2 linked regions of the Rattus norvegicus genome follow. The protein of the gene in region 1 interacts with the protein of each later gene in a biochemical or structural test. Links are inferred from orthologs where the notes say so. Each region holds a gene or a part of one and is shown on either strand. Other genes may lie near its edges.

Region 1 (7,441 bases):
GATTTTTTTTTTTAACAGAGTATTGGGAATTAATATCCCCAAGGAAGGTTTGGAGCACAGAACAAGTTAGGAAGAGAGCATGGTAAGACACTGGAGACCCACAGGGTACTGTAAACGCAGTGGGAACTTTCAGGTACATAGCTGGTCAACAACAAATGGATGTGCTAACACTACACACTGTTCCAGAAAAAAACAAAAAAACAACAACAAAAAAAACCCCAAACAAACAAAAAAACAAAAAACCATGTGAGCATGAAGGAACAGTCAGGCCTTCCCTCTGAGTGTCCGAGTTGACACGTGAAGAGAAGTAAGCTAGTTTGGAAAAACCAGAGCTGCAGAGACGGGGTGTGTGTATGATGTTCTTCATGTCTCTTAGTCTTAGGATCTCTCAGGGTCATTGTGTGAAATTAGAAATGATAACAGAAAAAAAACCCACCTGGGTACAACTATTGTTTTGGGCTCAGCTTCTGATGACCATCAAAAACACTTGAGATATTTATAAAGTGTGAAAGGTTCAAGTTGGCTAGCCTTGGAGTTTTACAGTAGAAGACTGACTAGCCTGATTGTGCTGGCCCTGTGGTGAAGCAGCTCTTCATGGAGAAGCAGCTCCTGCTGGACTCAAAGCACTCATCTTATGGCCTCAGAGAGCAAGAGCATGAGCCACAGTCCCACTGTCCCCTTCAAGAATACACTCTAAGGACTGGAAGTCTTCCAATTAGGTCCGGTCACCTAAAGACTCTGCCCTTTCCCAGTAGCACCACCATGGAGAGCAAGTCTTTCCTGCATGAACCTTAGAAGAACATTCCAGATCCAAATTTCAGCAGGCTTTGTTGATTATAAGAAACCTGACACTCATTTTTGTTTAAAATAGAAGCACTGTAGTGTGGTTAAAACCCAGTCTTAGAACCATTGGTTAATGGTGCTGTTGTGAAAATTACTTCCTTAGGGGAAACATGAACGATATCTCCCCCTTCCTCCTATGGGTCCACTCACAGACCCACATATGATTCCAGAAACATTCATGCTGGAGACCCAATGAGTTTGTTAGGCTTACTTAAAGAGCATGGGTGAAGGGTTGCTGACACAATTGTGTATGTGACCACAAAGCAGTCACACTGGCCAGTCTTCTCTCATCATGGATGACAGCTTCCCCACAGCTACATAGGTGGCACCCTCTCCCCCCTTTTCTTCTCACCTGAGTTCTGTTATGTCCAAGTTACACACAAATGAATGGCTGGGAAGAATGAGTGGCTACACAGAAGATCCAATGACACACCCTACCCTCTTCCTTCTGGGAAGAAAGGTCAACACACAAGCTGATTGTATGCTCAGCTAATCTTATGAATGCAGTGGCAGTGTGCCTCAGAGGTTAGTGCCTTCAAACAGTTGGCCTTACCATTACACTTTGGTATGTACTCGCTCCTGAATGCCCTCAGTGCGTCTCAGGCTTAGGACGAACAGGTGACAAATTTACATTTTAATTTGAATGTACTGCTAGGCGTTATCTCTGCCTATGGGTATTTGGAGACACTATCAATTAAATCCCAGGAAAGTTTGCCTCTAATCATAGGCTTAGTGTAGACTTTATCTCTTCTATTTCAAAGTATACACAGACTAGAAAGCATAGATTTGGTTGCTCGGTGACCACACCTTTGGTAGTATTTTGGATGAAACAAGCATTCCCAATCCCAAGATGTGACTAAGAACACCAGAGTGTTTTATTGTCCTTTCCCGGACCCCATGTGTGTCTTCTTACCTTCTCACTATGCGCAAGAACCACAGGGTCCCACATGGGTAGATATTTACAAGCGCTGTCCCAAAACGTTTTGTGATGTGGATTTGGCTTGGGAATTAAAGTGCTTGATCTTCAGCACTTCGAGCCCAGCTCAAAAAATGATCAGAAAGGGAACAAGAAGTCCCCGCCACATGAGAGATAACATAACTCATTCTCAACTCTAAGATGAAATGAATGCTGGACCTCTCGGTCCAGAAGCAACTCTTCTGGATGCTTCTGTAGAAACAGGATCCCTGGTAAGAGGCCAGAAAGAATTCATTCTGTTTGGACACTTAGAGTGGGGCATCATTTGGCATAGGGAATTTCAGCATGGCATGGGCAGTTTACATTAATAGTGGGCATTTCCTCTACCCCAGCTGAGTTGCCTCTGTGAGCTCCGAGTCTCGGGCAGTGAATCTTTCCATCTTGGAGAGGAAAGGCATGTGTCTGAAATCTCACCTTCTCCTCAGTAGCTGCTTCTCTCCCCCCCCCTTTCCCTTTTATTTAAAAAGAAGCATCGGTATATTTGAACAGAAAGGATAATAGGTAAGCATTTATTCAGTTACTTGAAATTTCACGAGTAGAGCTGACTCATTAAATGATCGAGCATCCAGTGTTTAAATATTTCCCCATAAACAGTGGAATCAGGCTTCTGCTGTGCTGTGGGGGTGATGCAATGGAAACAGCTTTTCAGAAGGCTCTGATTTCTGCTACCACAGAAAGAACAAGGGTTGACTCTTGATAAATAACATGGAAAGAAACACTGTCAAAGTTTTAATAAGGGTGTCTTTTTCTTTTATGGAACTCCATAGCGCCCACGCTGTAGAACATAAATAAGCAGTTTACACACAAAAAAAGTAAGGTCAATAAACATAACACGTTGAGACTTTTTCCCCACGTCAAAAGTCATAAACTTACATTTTATACAGTAGATATTTTCCAACCAAAGCACTATACAGTAGAGGCAGCTGTTGGGAAGTACACTGCTCAGGTTGTGCCTGAGTGACAAATTCTGCAGGTCTCTACCTAGTATGCACTCTGTCCCCACTTAATACCTGCCAGGTAACTCACAGATGCCTCCCAGGGGGTAGAAACAGATGATCTCTTTGAAGGTTTTCCTCAGTTCTTGACTCCGCAGGGCATAAATGAGAGGGTCGATGACAGCGTTACACATGATCAGTATGAGATACAAGTTAAAATGAGACATGAAGCACACGCAGTATGGATTCTGAGGACAAGAGATGTAGAACAGTAAATGGAGGAAAAACGGGGCCCAGCAGACAACAAACACTCCAATCAGAATGGTCAAGGTAATTGCGCCCTTCATGTTGGCACCCTGACGGATGGTACCCGTGCCCGGGAGGACAGCGATCCTCTTAATGTGAAGCCTCGCCATCAGGAACATGTGGACATAGAGAGAGGCCATGAGAACCAGCATGGTGAAGAACATGGTAATGAGGCAGATGATGACAGCGCTGCTGTCCGAGTAAATGATAAAAAGAACGCCCGATACTGTGCAAGCTGCCCAGATACAACTGATGATGATCCCGACCCGCCTAACCGTCATAATGTTATGGTACTGGAGCGCGTAAAAGATAGTGAAATACCTGTCCACTGCAATGGAAAGCAGGCTGCAAATGGATGCGAGCAAGGAGCTACAGATCACAGAGTCAATGACATTATCAATATTCACGGTGAAGCTCTGGGCGTCCGTGTCCGTACTGTTTAGCAGGGTGATGACGATGGTTTCTGACCCGTTCGAAACGCTCACCAGCATGTCCGCCACAGCCAGACTACAGATGAAAAAGTACATGGGTGAGTGCAGGTTCTTGTTCTTGGCTATCGCCACGATCACTAGAATGTTCTCCAACAGGCTTATGACACCCAGAGTCACAAACACCTCGGGGGAGACAAAAAGTTGCTCATAGCATCCTCCGTCTGAGTGCCCCTTCCCCAGAGACTCGCTGGCATTGCCGTGCAGCCCGTGGCTGCTGCGGTTCCAGAGGTGGAGGGAAGTATACATGCCATGGTGGTGGGTGGAGTTCATCTTCCTGCAGCAGCTGGATTCGAATCCTCCTTGAAGTGGTCCAACCTCCTAGGTCAGGGAAGCCCCGAGTGGTTTTTCTCCCAGCCTGTCTGCCTGTAGAAGTTGGGAGGCTGCAGTTGGCGCCTGCGGTGAACAGGGTCAGAAGCAGCGGAGCTTGCAAAGGAGTTGTTGGTCTCTTCTGGGTTCAGCTTTGCTCATCATTTCTTTAGAAGCTGGCGCTACTGAAAGCTCACTCTCGGCTGACCAGTCTGCAGTTCGTTTTTTGTGGCTTTCCCTTTAGCCGTAGTATTCACTCGGGGTCTTTTCAGAGTCCTTTTCCTGAGAGTCGCTGGAGAGCTGGGAGCCGCGTCTGCATCTGCGCGCCCACACTCACAGCGCAGCCTCTCAGAAGTTGAGCTTCCCGAGCATCCCCGTGAGCCAGCGCAGCCTGGTGCGGGCTGCTGATTTCTTAGGTTCTACGGAGGTGGGGGAACTGTTCTGAATGGCTCCTCCTCTGCTTCCTTCTGACCAATCCAGGCTCAGTGGTTCTGAGACATCGATCTTGCCCAGATTGATTACAGGGCAGCACCCAGCTCAATGGCCAGGGCTGCTGGGGTGGGAAGGAAGCAGCCTGTAAGACACTGGATTTTCCTTTCCAAGTTTTAAGAGAAATGACTTGATTGTTCGAGCACATCCTGTGATACTCCTTAAATCCTCGAGGATCAGCCAGGCTCACTCCTTGAGACGGGGCTGCAAGTATGCGCGCGCGGATAAAAAAATGAAAAGCACTCTGTCCTGGCTCCTGACGCAGACGCTGCCCCTCTGCCCAGGATCCCCACTGAATGAGCGAAGGTTCAGTTTGAAAGACTAGAAATGCAGGCAGGGTTTAATTAGACAGATGGGTATGCTGTGGGGAACTACGGCACAGCCAGAGATGAAGACTGGGTTCACTTCTGGCGTGCTGGTAGCTGTTTGTCCATTTGCAGTTTCTGCTATAACAGCTGGAAAAGTTTGTATTCACAGTATTTAAAAAGTTCCAGTGGCATTAATAAAAGCCTATTGACTGTGAACTTAGACAAATCAACAACGTGACAATATTCTGAAAAAAAATTTTTTTTTTGGTTGTTGTTGCTATTGTTTGGTTGATAGGATTTTGTGGTGGTTTTGTCGTTGGTTGGTTGTTTTTGAAAGATAGAGTTCTGTTGGTTTTTTTTAATTTTGTTTAATTTCTTTTCTTCCACAGTTTCACACATTGAAACTATGAATACATAGTTCGGCTGTGTGTTTGCTCAGGCCAGGGCCAGTGGGTGCACATTCATGCCTGCTGCTGTGAAGAGATTGGCGCTTAGCTCTGAACGCCCAACCCTACCCCCTCCCCGTTCCGTGCATGCGTGCATTCGTGTGCGTTCGTGCGTGTGTGTGTGTGTGTGTGTGTGTGTGTGTGTGTGTGTGTGTGTCTGTGTGTGTGTGTGTGTTAGAGACCATGCTAACCACTGCTTCAGAACACTGTGCTAAATTAGGGTTGCCATGCAACTCTGGAACTGAGTAGAGCCTACTACTGAATTCTGGCTAATAGACAGTACAGAAGTTGGTACACATTGGGCCACCTTCCTCTTGATTCTGCTCTTTCTCCTGTCTGGCAAATGACTACAGAGTTTCTAGAAGCTTTATGGCATAGAAGCCCCTACTAAGTGACTGTACAGAAAAGAGCCCCCCTCTGCATACCTTCCGTCTTGAGCTGACCAACTACCCTCAATGTCCTAGAAACAAGGGACAGCTTTGACTATTGTAAACCCCCAAGTGGTTCAGCTGTTACAGCATCTGACAGCAATCACCTCCAGACACTTTCCTAGAGCCCTTAAGAAGGATGATTTACGTATTTGTTTTCCCTTTCACACTTTCTCCCATGGGGAGTTATCTAACCCGTGAATGAGTGATAGAGAAGAAATCCACAGAAGCATCACGTGGTTACCTGAATAATCTTTCTAAGTAGCTCTTGCCCTTGTGCCCTTCCTCTCGGGGCACAGAAGGTCTGGGTTTTTCACAGCGAAGAAAGCATTTGCTACCCCAGCATCATGAAGGTTTATATTGCTTTACTGAAGTCGCCTGTGATGAAATGTTACTCCTATAGGTGTGATAGGAGGTGTTCGTCATAACTGGCTTAAAGACTCTCGCACACAGAGGCTTTCCCAAGAATAACTTTTAATGGCCACTTTCCCCTCTATGTCCAGTCATACCTTCTTATTTCCTTTCCTACTTCTTTTCATTTTTGTTCAGAACTGGACATATGGGTATGTCGCAGCTATTCTGAAAACCATATTTACCTCTTACGGAAAGCTTTTCGTTACGGTGGTTGGTTGCCGCTGTTGCTTCACCGGTGACTTAGAGGGAGGTCTACACTGGTCTGTCTCGTGTGCCCAATAAATCATCTGATTTGTGACCTTACTGGTCAGTGAGTGAAGGACTAAGGCAGCTACAAACAGGAAGTCTCCCAGTCTTGTGTGTTGAAGCAAACCGGCACTGTGCTACAACCCCTCCCTTGGCAGCCTTCCCTCCCCTTACTTCTGTTTGCACAGAGGAGAAATCAACCAGAGGTGAGGACTTAGGGCATTCTCAGCTCTTTCGAGACCTTATGCAGAGCTCTACAAGCAGCACAACTTTTTATATTCTCAGAGCTCATTTGATCTGTCTCTATGGAGACCCTCTTCCCTCACTTGCCTTTAAAATTTTAAGCTCTTTTCTCTAAGTTGTACCCAACATGTCAGGCAACCATAAGATTAACAGTTGCTTGGAATGCCACTGGGGGCAAAGTCTATTCTTAGAGGGCACATTCTGGGTCAGGAAAAAGCCCTGGAAGTCTGGCTTTGGGGGTTCAACTCAGGTAAGCTGAGTTGCTTCTCCGTAAAGAGTCTAAGAGGTTTCTAAGGACTTACAAGTCAGGTTGCCTCTAAACTTCCTGGTAAGAGATGCTTTTTGGTATCTTTCTGGCAATTGATTTTCAAGGACACAGACCAAGCTGGTTAAAAAGCCACAAAGTTCACTTTTTAAACTTTTGTAATTTAGTGGTTTCCTGGCTTCTTCCGAAATTGCTTGGCACATTAGTTAATTTGTCTCATGTTGTATATATTATAATGTTAACACATGTTGCTAGTGGTATGGATTTACTTGGTGAGGGATTTTTTTCACTAGTCCTTACTTTAGTATTTTTTACTAAGATTATTTCTCATCCTTACCTTTTATGTTAAAATAATTAAATTAGATTAGTCTCTATCAACCATCCCCTGTAACAGACTTCTAGATGAATGACTAACTATTTTGTAGTTTTTCCCACACCTTTAAAAAAAGCTTTTCATTCAAGAAATAAAGAAATAAAAAGACTTGGATGAAAATTTAAATAAGATGATGTAAATTTTAAACCAGTAAAGTACACATTAGTATCAAAGTGTCTGCATACTCCCTTTTCTGTGTTTTCATGAAGAAGGTTTTGGTTTCGGACATTAGGATCAAATGAAAATCTGATAAAAATCCAATACCTATAAAAATCTCATTTTTATCTATTAAGTATAAATGTAGATTTATGGTAAGTCATGCTGAAAAGATTACCTACCTCTAAGTAGACATTTTATTCTGTTTCTCCTTTA
Region 2 (8,040 bases), on another chromosome or scaffold:
AATTGAGGAGGAGAAAATAGAAGGACCCCACCCACTCATCCGTTGAAGGTTTTTCTACAATTATAATGCTACCGAATGTTAACAGTGGGTGATAAAAGCAAAGTTATTTAAACGTAATGTAAATGAAATAGGGGACTCAGTGGTGTCAGAAGTGTGAGGTGTCACCCGAGGACTCTGACCTTGTTTATCTCCTACACCAACCCCTTTCCTGGTGAGATCTCAGGAGAGGCTATGCAAATCAACAGCCTTGGCAGTTTCTGAACTGGATCACCCAGGGTTCCTTGGGCCTTCTGAGTCTAAAGTACATGAACCTTGTTCTTATGTCTTGAGAAGGTCTCTTCCATCACCTAGCCTCAGCTGTCCGTTGATACATCGAACAGGATGTAGTAGCAGGCACCCGACACTTGTGTGCATGCATGTGCATGCACATGGTGATGTGTAAGGGGCCCTAGCCTGCCCCTGACAGCTTTACACGCTTCTGCAGGAAAGACTGGAAAAGAACTTGGCTGGAATCCTGCCTTCTAGAAGCAGTGTGAGATATTTGGCATCAGTTTTTTGGGTTTTTTTTCTTTGGGGGGGGGGACTTTGGTCTTTCCTTCTCCCTCTGGAGGTGTTATATGGAAATACCCGACTAGTAACTGGCTTTGTAACTGAGAGAAAATAAAGAGGGAAGAAATATGAAGTGCACTTGCAGGTTTCCACTATTTAAAGGGAGGTTGATTTGGGAGCCAAAGGGTTGAAATACGGGACCAACTAAAGGAGCACTCCTGGCTAATATGGCATTGTGTATACTCAGTTTCTGTGAGGATTCCTCACCAGAAACAGAATGAGTGGGTGAGAATAATGGAGCAGAAATTATGAACCAGACCCCTTTCTCTGAAGCCACCTCCTTCTCACCTTTGCCTAATTCCAACCTTACAGAAAGAGTTCTGTTGCTGCTCCGAGTCACTCCAATTAACGGAGATGAATTTCCCTGTCACCCCTTCCCACAGCCCTCTTCCTTTCCATCTGTTCTAATCCCGGTGCCATCTTCCACCCAAGCCACAGTGGTGTCCGTGGCCCACATACCAGCAGGTTGCTTTCCGTGGTGAGGTCCTGGCACTGGCTGCTCTCCAGGCACCAGCTCCACACGTCTATGGAGGTCTGAAGCAGGAGGGCCAGCAGCAGGGCCCCTGAGCGACTGTAGCAGAATCTCGGCATCTTCCAGGTGGCTGAGGCTCTGCAGAGGCAAACAAGATTGGAGGGACCCCTGCAAGGAGCAGAACAATGCTGGCCAGTGACCAGGAAAGGACTCTGAGCCAACACTAACAGCTCTCACCTTTACAGTCCAAGGCTTTCTGAGGACAGGAGCAGGGCTCAGAAGATGGGAGATGCGTGTGGCTGTCATAGGAGGGGTAGGAAAAGAGGGCTCAACACAAACTACAGGCAGTTTCCCTCTCTGTTTCCTGTTAAAATCAGACTTTTAAAAAAAATCAGAGGTGAGGCTATCTAGGATATCACTTGGTCCGGCCCCTCATTTGGGAGGTGGGAAAGCTGATGACCCCAAAAGATCATTTCTTTTGTGCTCATGATGCAGTAAAAGTAAGCTTCCCTGTATTCCCAGATGGCTTCTAAATTCACTGCCTGGAAAAAGCTGCAGTTAACACTCCATATCCAAAGGGTGGGAATAACTAAAGACAAAGGATTGAGAAAGTCCTGCCTTGGTTCCTCTCACCTAAAATTTGATCACTTCCGATGAAAGGTAGGTTTCAATACAGGCAAATAAAACCCTTCCACTTAATCAATATTTGATATTGTATACACAAATCTCCTGGTGATTGTTATTTCCCAGATCCTAGTAACTTTGGGAAGATTTCTTTCTAAGGCAGATTCCACTTCCTTTAAAACTTCCCTGTTTTCTAAACATACAGACCACACATGTAAGTCTTGTCTGAAATACATGACCTTGAAGAGGATGTCAATACTGAGGGCAGAGAGACGGGCAGAAGACCAGAAAGGAAGCTGCCTCCACAGTGAAGAAGCTGCCCCTGAAGTGAAGAGCCACTAAGATACTGTCAAGAAATGCAAAGCATCTCTGGGCAGATGTGGCACCAACAGGCAGAAGAGAGCAACCACGGTGCCTTGGCTCCCTGGCGTCCAGCATTTCCCTAGCACTGCTAGCTTCTTAGCTTGTTACACCTGTTCCCCATCACCCAAGGATCCCTAAAGTCACCATAGTCTGTAATCAGCTCCCCACCAACTCTACACTCATTCTGGGTTTCAGATTACCAGCCATTAGGAAGACCTTTAATTAGAAAAGTTAGTCAGAGTGAAATGTAAATACCCAGGCAGTGGTGGCTCATACCTTTAATCCCAGCACCCAGGAGGCAGAAGCGGGAGGATCTCTGAGTTCAAAGCCAGCCTGGCCTACAGAGAAAATTCCAGAACAGCTAAGTTTACACAGAAATACCCTGTCTTGAAAAAAAACAAAAAAACAAAAAAAATTTAAGAATTAAAAATATGTAAATGGCTTAATTGTCTGGTGAACATTTGCATTTTAAGAAGAATATGGCAGAAAATAAATCTCATTTAGAGAGACAGGAGAAAAGCCTTTATTTTTGAAAGGGAGGATTTGGAAATGAAAGCTTTCAAGAATCTCCCCTCTCTGCTCCACCCTGTGCCAGTCTTCAAGAGCTGGTTTTTCCTGCAAGCTTTGAGTGGTTTTTGTTTTTTGGTTTTTTTGTTTTGTTTTGTTTTGATTTGATTTGTTTTGTTTTGTTTTTCAGAACTACCATTAGTAGACGCTAGCAGTCATTTGAGCTGTGTGGGCCACACCTCAGACCAGAAGCAAACTTGTTGCCCTTGCTGGGGCTCAGGTTCAGACAAGCAGCCAATTAGCTCAAAATGCTGAGATCACAAAGTCCCCCCAGATAGGAAGGTGGGAAAAAATGGTAAATAGCATGAAAAACGTATTAGTAAAGAAAAATAAGATCATGCAAGTCTGATAGACTTCTCAACTAAGTTTCCATTGTCTTGAAAGCTGGGTACCATGGAATGAGGTCTATCTTTGAAGAAGAGACAGTCACGATTTCAGGCCCTCAAAATCGTGCCCTCTCTTCCTAGTCCACCTATTGTGTGCTGAAATTCTCATCCCCACTCCCAGAGCTCCCCAGCTTTTTATTTGTATGTCCCCCTTTTTTCCACAATGAAACAAACGCCTTATTTGTGTCAATTTTTTTTTTGAAAAATCAAAAGTATTGGGGGAAATGTCAAATGCTGTGCTTTTTATAGGTTAGAGAGTGCCGGGTTCCAGTCATTAACAGCTCTGGAAGACAGAAGATTACGATTTATTCATTTCGATAGAACTACACTTATTAGGGCCCCAGAAAATTCTCTGAACTCAGAAGAGCCTTATATTTTCTGCTCTCAAAGTGACTCCGATAACCTGTCTATAAAGCTCAGAGGCACAAAGATGCGATTTCATCCATACACGGTGCGTATGCTTCAATTTCCACAATACCACAGGAAACAAGGCGTTAGTCTGTGCATATTTCATAAACTGACAAACTTTTCTTCGTTTCACTCGACTCCTTCCAGCCATCCTGTGAGAGCTTCCCCTGGTTTACGCACGGAGAACTTGGGGGATCTTTCTCTCCATTTGAAATGTCCTCTGCCTGAGTCTGGGTCCTTACAACTTGCTGCACCGCCCCCACGGTTTTTTAAAGGTTTTCGAAACTAGATGGAGTGGTTCAGGACCTTGGACAGTTCCCGCCCCACACCCTGTTTTTAATCTGAGCTGGATTTTGGAAAGAAGAGCCCACTTACTTACCGTCCTTTCCTATAACCCACACAATTATCGCAACGCAACCACATCAGGTCTGCTAAGGTGCGCAGGGAGGCGAGGGTTTTGATCTCTACAGCAATAACAAGTGAACTCCACTATTAGGAGTTTATTGTGGCTCGCCCTTCTTTCCCGCTATCTTTCCAACGTGTGCTCAGTATATATGGTCTCTTGCCTTAAAGAAGATATATAAAAGTCCAAACAATAGGGAGGAGAAACCTAAGGGGGAACTCTCCCAAGATCTCCCCAGGGGCCAGTCGGAGTCTAAGACAATCCTAAGCCTCCCAGTGCTTCATTCCTCCATGCGGACCCTGGGACCCCGACGCTGGCGGTCTTTGGAATTGCCACAGACCTGCTCTCTGGAGCAATGCAGTCTGCCAACCCATCGTCCGGGCTCAGCTCTCTCACGTCTCAGAAAGTTTGCGAAGAGGTCAGGTCCGCTACAAGCCAGAACGCCAGTCTGCATTACCGCCTGCTGGGGATCCCAGGGTCCGGGGACAGAGCTCAGCGTAGGAGAGCCGTCAGGAGCCGAGACACCCTTACCTGTCGCGGAAAGGCAGCTCTCTGAGGACGAAGATGTTCAGTGGCCTCTCTTAGTCACTGCTCCTTAACCTCTTTTCTCCTCCGTCGCCTCCCGTTTGGTCCCTGTCACTCTTCTCTCTTCTTTTATACCTGCAGGGTTGGGTGGGTGAGCCTTGGACGTGACCTTCCTGGCAGCGCTTCTGCAACGCAACAAGCGAATCCCCGGCCACGCGAAGGGGGGCGGCGGGCCGCGGGAGGGGGGGCTTCCCGGTCGGGGCTGCGCGCACAGCAGATGTGCCTGGAAAGTGCGGAGGCTGGCGTTAGCACAGACCCGCTGAAGCGCACACCTGGCCCCGGTGGTCAGGAGGAACTTAATTAAGGATGCTGTTGGATCTCCACTCAGGACTGGACAGAGGCTTAGCATCCTGGTGTGAGGCAGGCCTAGTTCTGAGGTCTTACAGAATGGAGTGGAATTACCTGTGTGCGTCCATCTGCCTTCCTGGCATTTGGAGGTAAATATCACTAATGAGGAGGGGGTCTGTTACGCATCAGATTTCCCCAGTGTTGGGAAAGTATGGAGTCTTGTGAAATCAAGATCTCTGTTTCGTTTCGAGAAGGGAGACAACAGAGGCTGTCAAGAATCATGGCAGCCCAAGGCAGGCTACCTTTGGGAGTGTGTGCAAGTGAGTTTGTACAGTCTGTCTCCATCCCCAATACTTATTCCAAGACAGGTGCCCTTTGATGCCCAAACTCCAAGGGAAAGGTCCTGCCAGCCTCAGACTATTAACCAGGAGGTGCAGCACTCTGTGGAGGGAAGTGGAAGCCATTCTGGGGCTGAGTTGGCAGAATGGCCTGGGGATTGTCTGACAGCCTTCACCGTGTGGCCAGGCCCAGGCGTTCTGGCTTGGCTGGGAACTCACAGGGCAAAACAGAAGAAAGAACAGGCCTGTGTGCCAAAGAGCAAAGCCTGTGAAGAGAGCTGTGACTGGCAGGGGGACTAGGATTGGATCAGACCAGTCCCGGTGCCTGTTTAATCTACCAGTTGAAGGAACTTCACTCCCCAGTTAGACACTGTCTGTTTGTCTATTTGCTTTGTTTTGTTTGGGGGACTCCAGGGGGTCCCTTGAGAGTTCAGCTTTTCTGATTGGCAGTATCGACTTTGCTTCCAAAAATCTTTTCCTTTTGTGGCACCAGAGAATGCACCAAGCTCCCTAATGGTGAATAAGGATTGTGTCACATGGCTCTGACCTCTTTCTGGGATGATTACCTGCTGTCCAACTCATATCCTGGACGTCAGCTAACCCCAATGCTCATATTCCGTGAGTGCTTCTTTCTGCCTCTACCTCCCTGAGTGTTCCCTGGAAGCTGAGCACCCTGTGTCCCTCCGATGAGGTAACTCAGATCCCTATGACGGTCTAGCTCTCCAGTATCACCTGGCTCTTACTAAGCCACTTTGGGTTATTTCTACCAGGAGCCTTAGAAACGATCTCCTTTCTTCAGAGAACCCCTTTCCTGTCTCATCTGTACAGTAGCTTATTATACGTGAACTGATTCACTTCTGTCTCTGACCTCCCATCCACCTCTGCCCTAACCAGCACCAGGCTTGGCAGTGCTCTTTGTCTTGTCCATTGCTTTATGGATGTGACTTTAGGAGGCTGCTTGCATTGGAGTCAAACCAAGGTAGGTTTGGGTTGGCCTAACTATCATCTGGACTCCTAATTATACATAGGAGAACTTGCTTTGCCCAATATGAACTGAAAAGTTTGAAAAGCTGTTAAACCACATTAGGAAACACTGGTTGGGCTATAGGACATAAAGGTGGGGGAGGGCAGGAGACAAGGGTGGCTGGACCCATGGCCAAACTCAGTAAAGGAGAAAAGAAAACCAAGGCTTAGAGAGAGAGGGTTCAGTGGTTAAGAGCACTGGCTGTTCTTCCAAAGGTCCTGGGTTCAATTCTCAACACCTACATGGCAACTCATACCTGTCTAAACTCCAGATCCAAGGATTCGACATTCCCATACATTCACACATGTAGGCAAAACACCAATGGGCATAAAATAAAAATAAATATTTTTTAAAAAAATAAATAAAAGATTTTAAAAAGAAAAGAAAACCAGAGCAGAACCAGGGTCAAAAAGACACAGGAGATACTGTCACCACACAGGCATTGAACATGGGTGTCACCAGGAAAAGGTCTCCATTGCCTTTGTATCAACATCTTTGATAACCTGGAGTAGGTGCCTCTGAAAGCCTCAAACAATACAGTTTTCCTCATTTAGTGTAATACTGTAGCGAGTTCTTAGGACACTGCTGATTGCTTTCCCAACGTTTAACATACTGTGCTTTCAAAGAAGCACAATTTAACGATGATGAGTGTCTCTTATATAACTAGCATTTTAATTAAGACTTTTGCCTCTACTTTCATGAGTGTGGCCTCTAATTTTCCTTTTTATTTTTAAGCTCTTGTCAAATCTGGTATCAAATTTGCACTGTTCTCACAAGACAAACTGAAATCTCTCTCCTTGTTTTAACTCAGCCAAGGACAGTGCTATAATGTCTTCCTTGAATGTTAAAAGTGCTTCGCACATGAAGGCTTCCAGGCTTCTAAGATGTCTGCTTTGTTTATTGGAAAGATGTTTTTGGGAGGAAGGGGTGTTCTGAGACAGGGTTTCTCTGTGTAGCCCTGGTTGTTCTGAAACTCATTCTGTTGAGTAGGCTGTCCTTGAACTCACAGAGATCCACCTGCCTCTGACTCCAAAGTACTGAGATTAAAGGTATTTGCCTCCACCACCTGGCTTGCTGAACAGTTTTTATTTAGCAATTGAAGATTCAATTGCTTCCTTAATATTATTCCCGTTGTCTATTTCTTCTTGTTCCAATTTGAATAAGGTGTTTTTTTTTTCCAGGAATTTATTCACTTCACAAAAATTCTTTAAGTTTTTGGCTTAAAAAATGGCATGTTTCGGTCCCCAGCTCCGGAAAAAAAAAAATTGGCATGTTATAGCTTCCATTTCTGTTGTGTTTGTTTGGGGGAGTCTTTTGTTTTTTGTGGAACTAGGGGTTGAACCCAGGGCTTCACACATTTGAGATATATCCCTAGTCTAATTATAGCTTCTTATCAGGTCCTTAGCATCTGAAGACTCTGGTTGTGCGCCTCTTTCTTGTCTGGTATTAGTAATTTATATTCTCCTTTTCTTGGATGTTGTGATGGTTTGCATATGCTTGGCCCAGGGAGTGGCGCTATTAGAAGGTGTGGCCTTGTTGGAGGAAGTGTGTCACTGTGGGGGTGGGCTTGGAGACTCTCCTCCTAGCTGCCTGAGGATGCTCAGTCTGTTCCTGGCTTCCTTTGGGAGAAGATGTAGAACTCAGCTCCTCCTGCACCATGCTTATCTAGATGCTGCCATGTTCCCGCCTTGATGATAATGGACTGAACCTCTGAACCTGTAAGCCACCCCCAATTAAATGTTGTCCTTTATAAAACTTACATTGGTCATGGTGTCTGGTCACAGCAATAAGACCCTAACTAAGACAGATGTATATCAATTTTATAAGTTTATTTTTACAATAGTCATCTTTGGTATTGTTAATTCTGTCTACTGCATGTGTGTTGTTCAGAAGTATTTTTGAAATTTCTACTAATTGTTACTTCCTTCTACTTTCTACATGCTTGGTTAGCTAATCTTTCTCTACTCAAGTCG

What was found.
Region 2: the proteins of Mc4r (region 1) and Pomc form a complex in vitro, tested with the Homo sapiens proteins (2 studies listed by BioGRID). The link is inferred for Rattus norvegicus from reciprocal best matches to the Homo sapiens genes MC4R and POMC.

The regions. Positions count from the first base shown.
Region 1 is NC_086036.1:62,687,457-62,694,897, forward strand, and holds Mc4r (melanocortin receptor 4), read right to left. Parts: upstream 4,230-7,441; 5' UTR 3,822-4,229; coding exon 2,823-3,821; 3' UTR 2,342-2,822; downstream 1-2,341.
Region 2 is NC_086024.1:32,655,772-32,663,811, reverse strand, and holds the start of Pomc (pro-opiomelanocortin precursor), read right to left. Parts: upstream 4,460-8,040; 5' UTR 4,364-4,459; intron 1,381-4,363; exon of another isoform or gene 1,220-1,380; 5' UTR 1,201-1,219; coding exon 1,069-1,200; intron 1-1,068.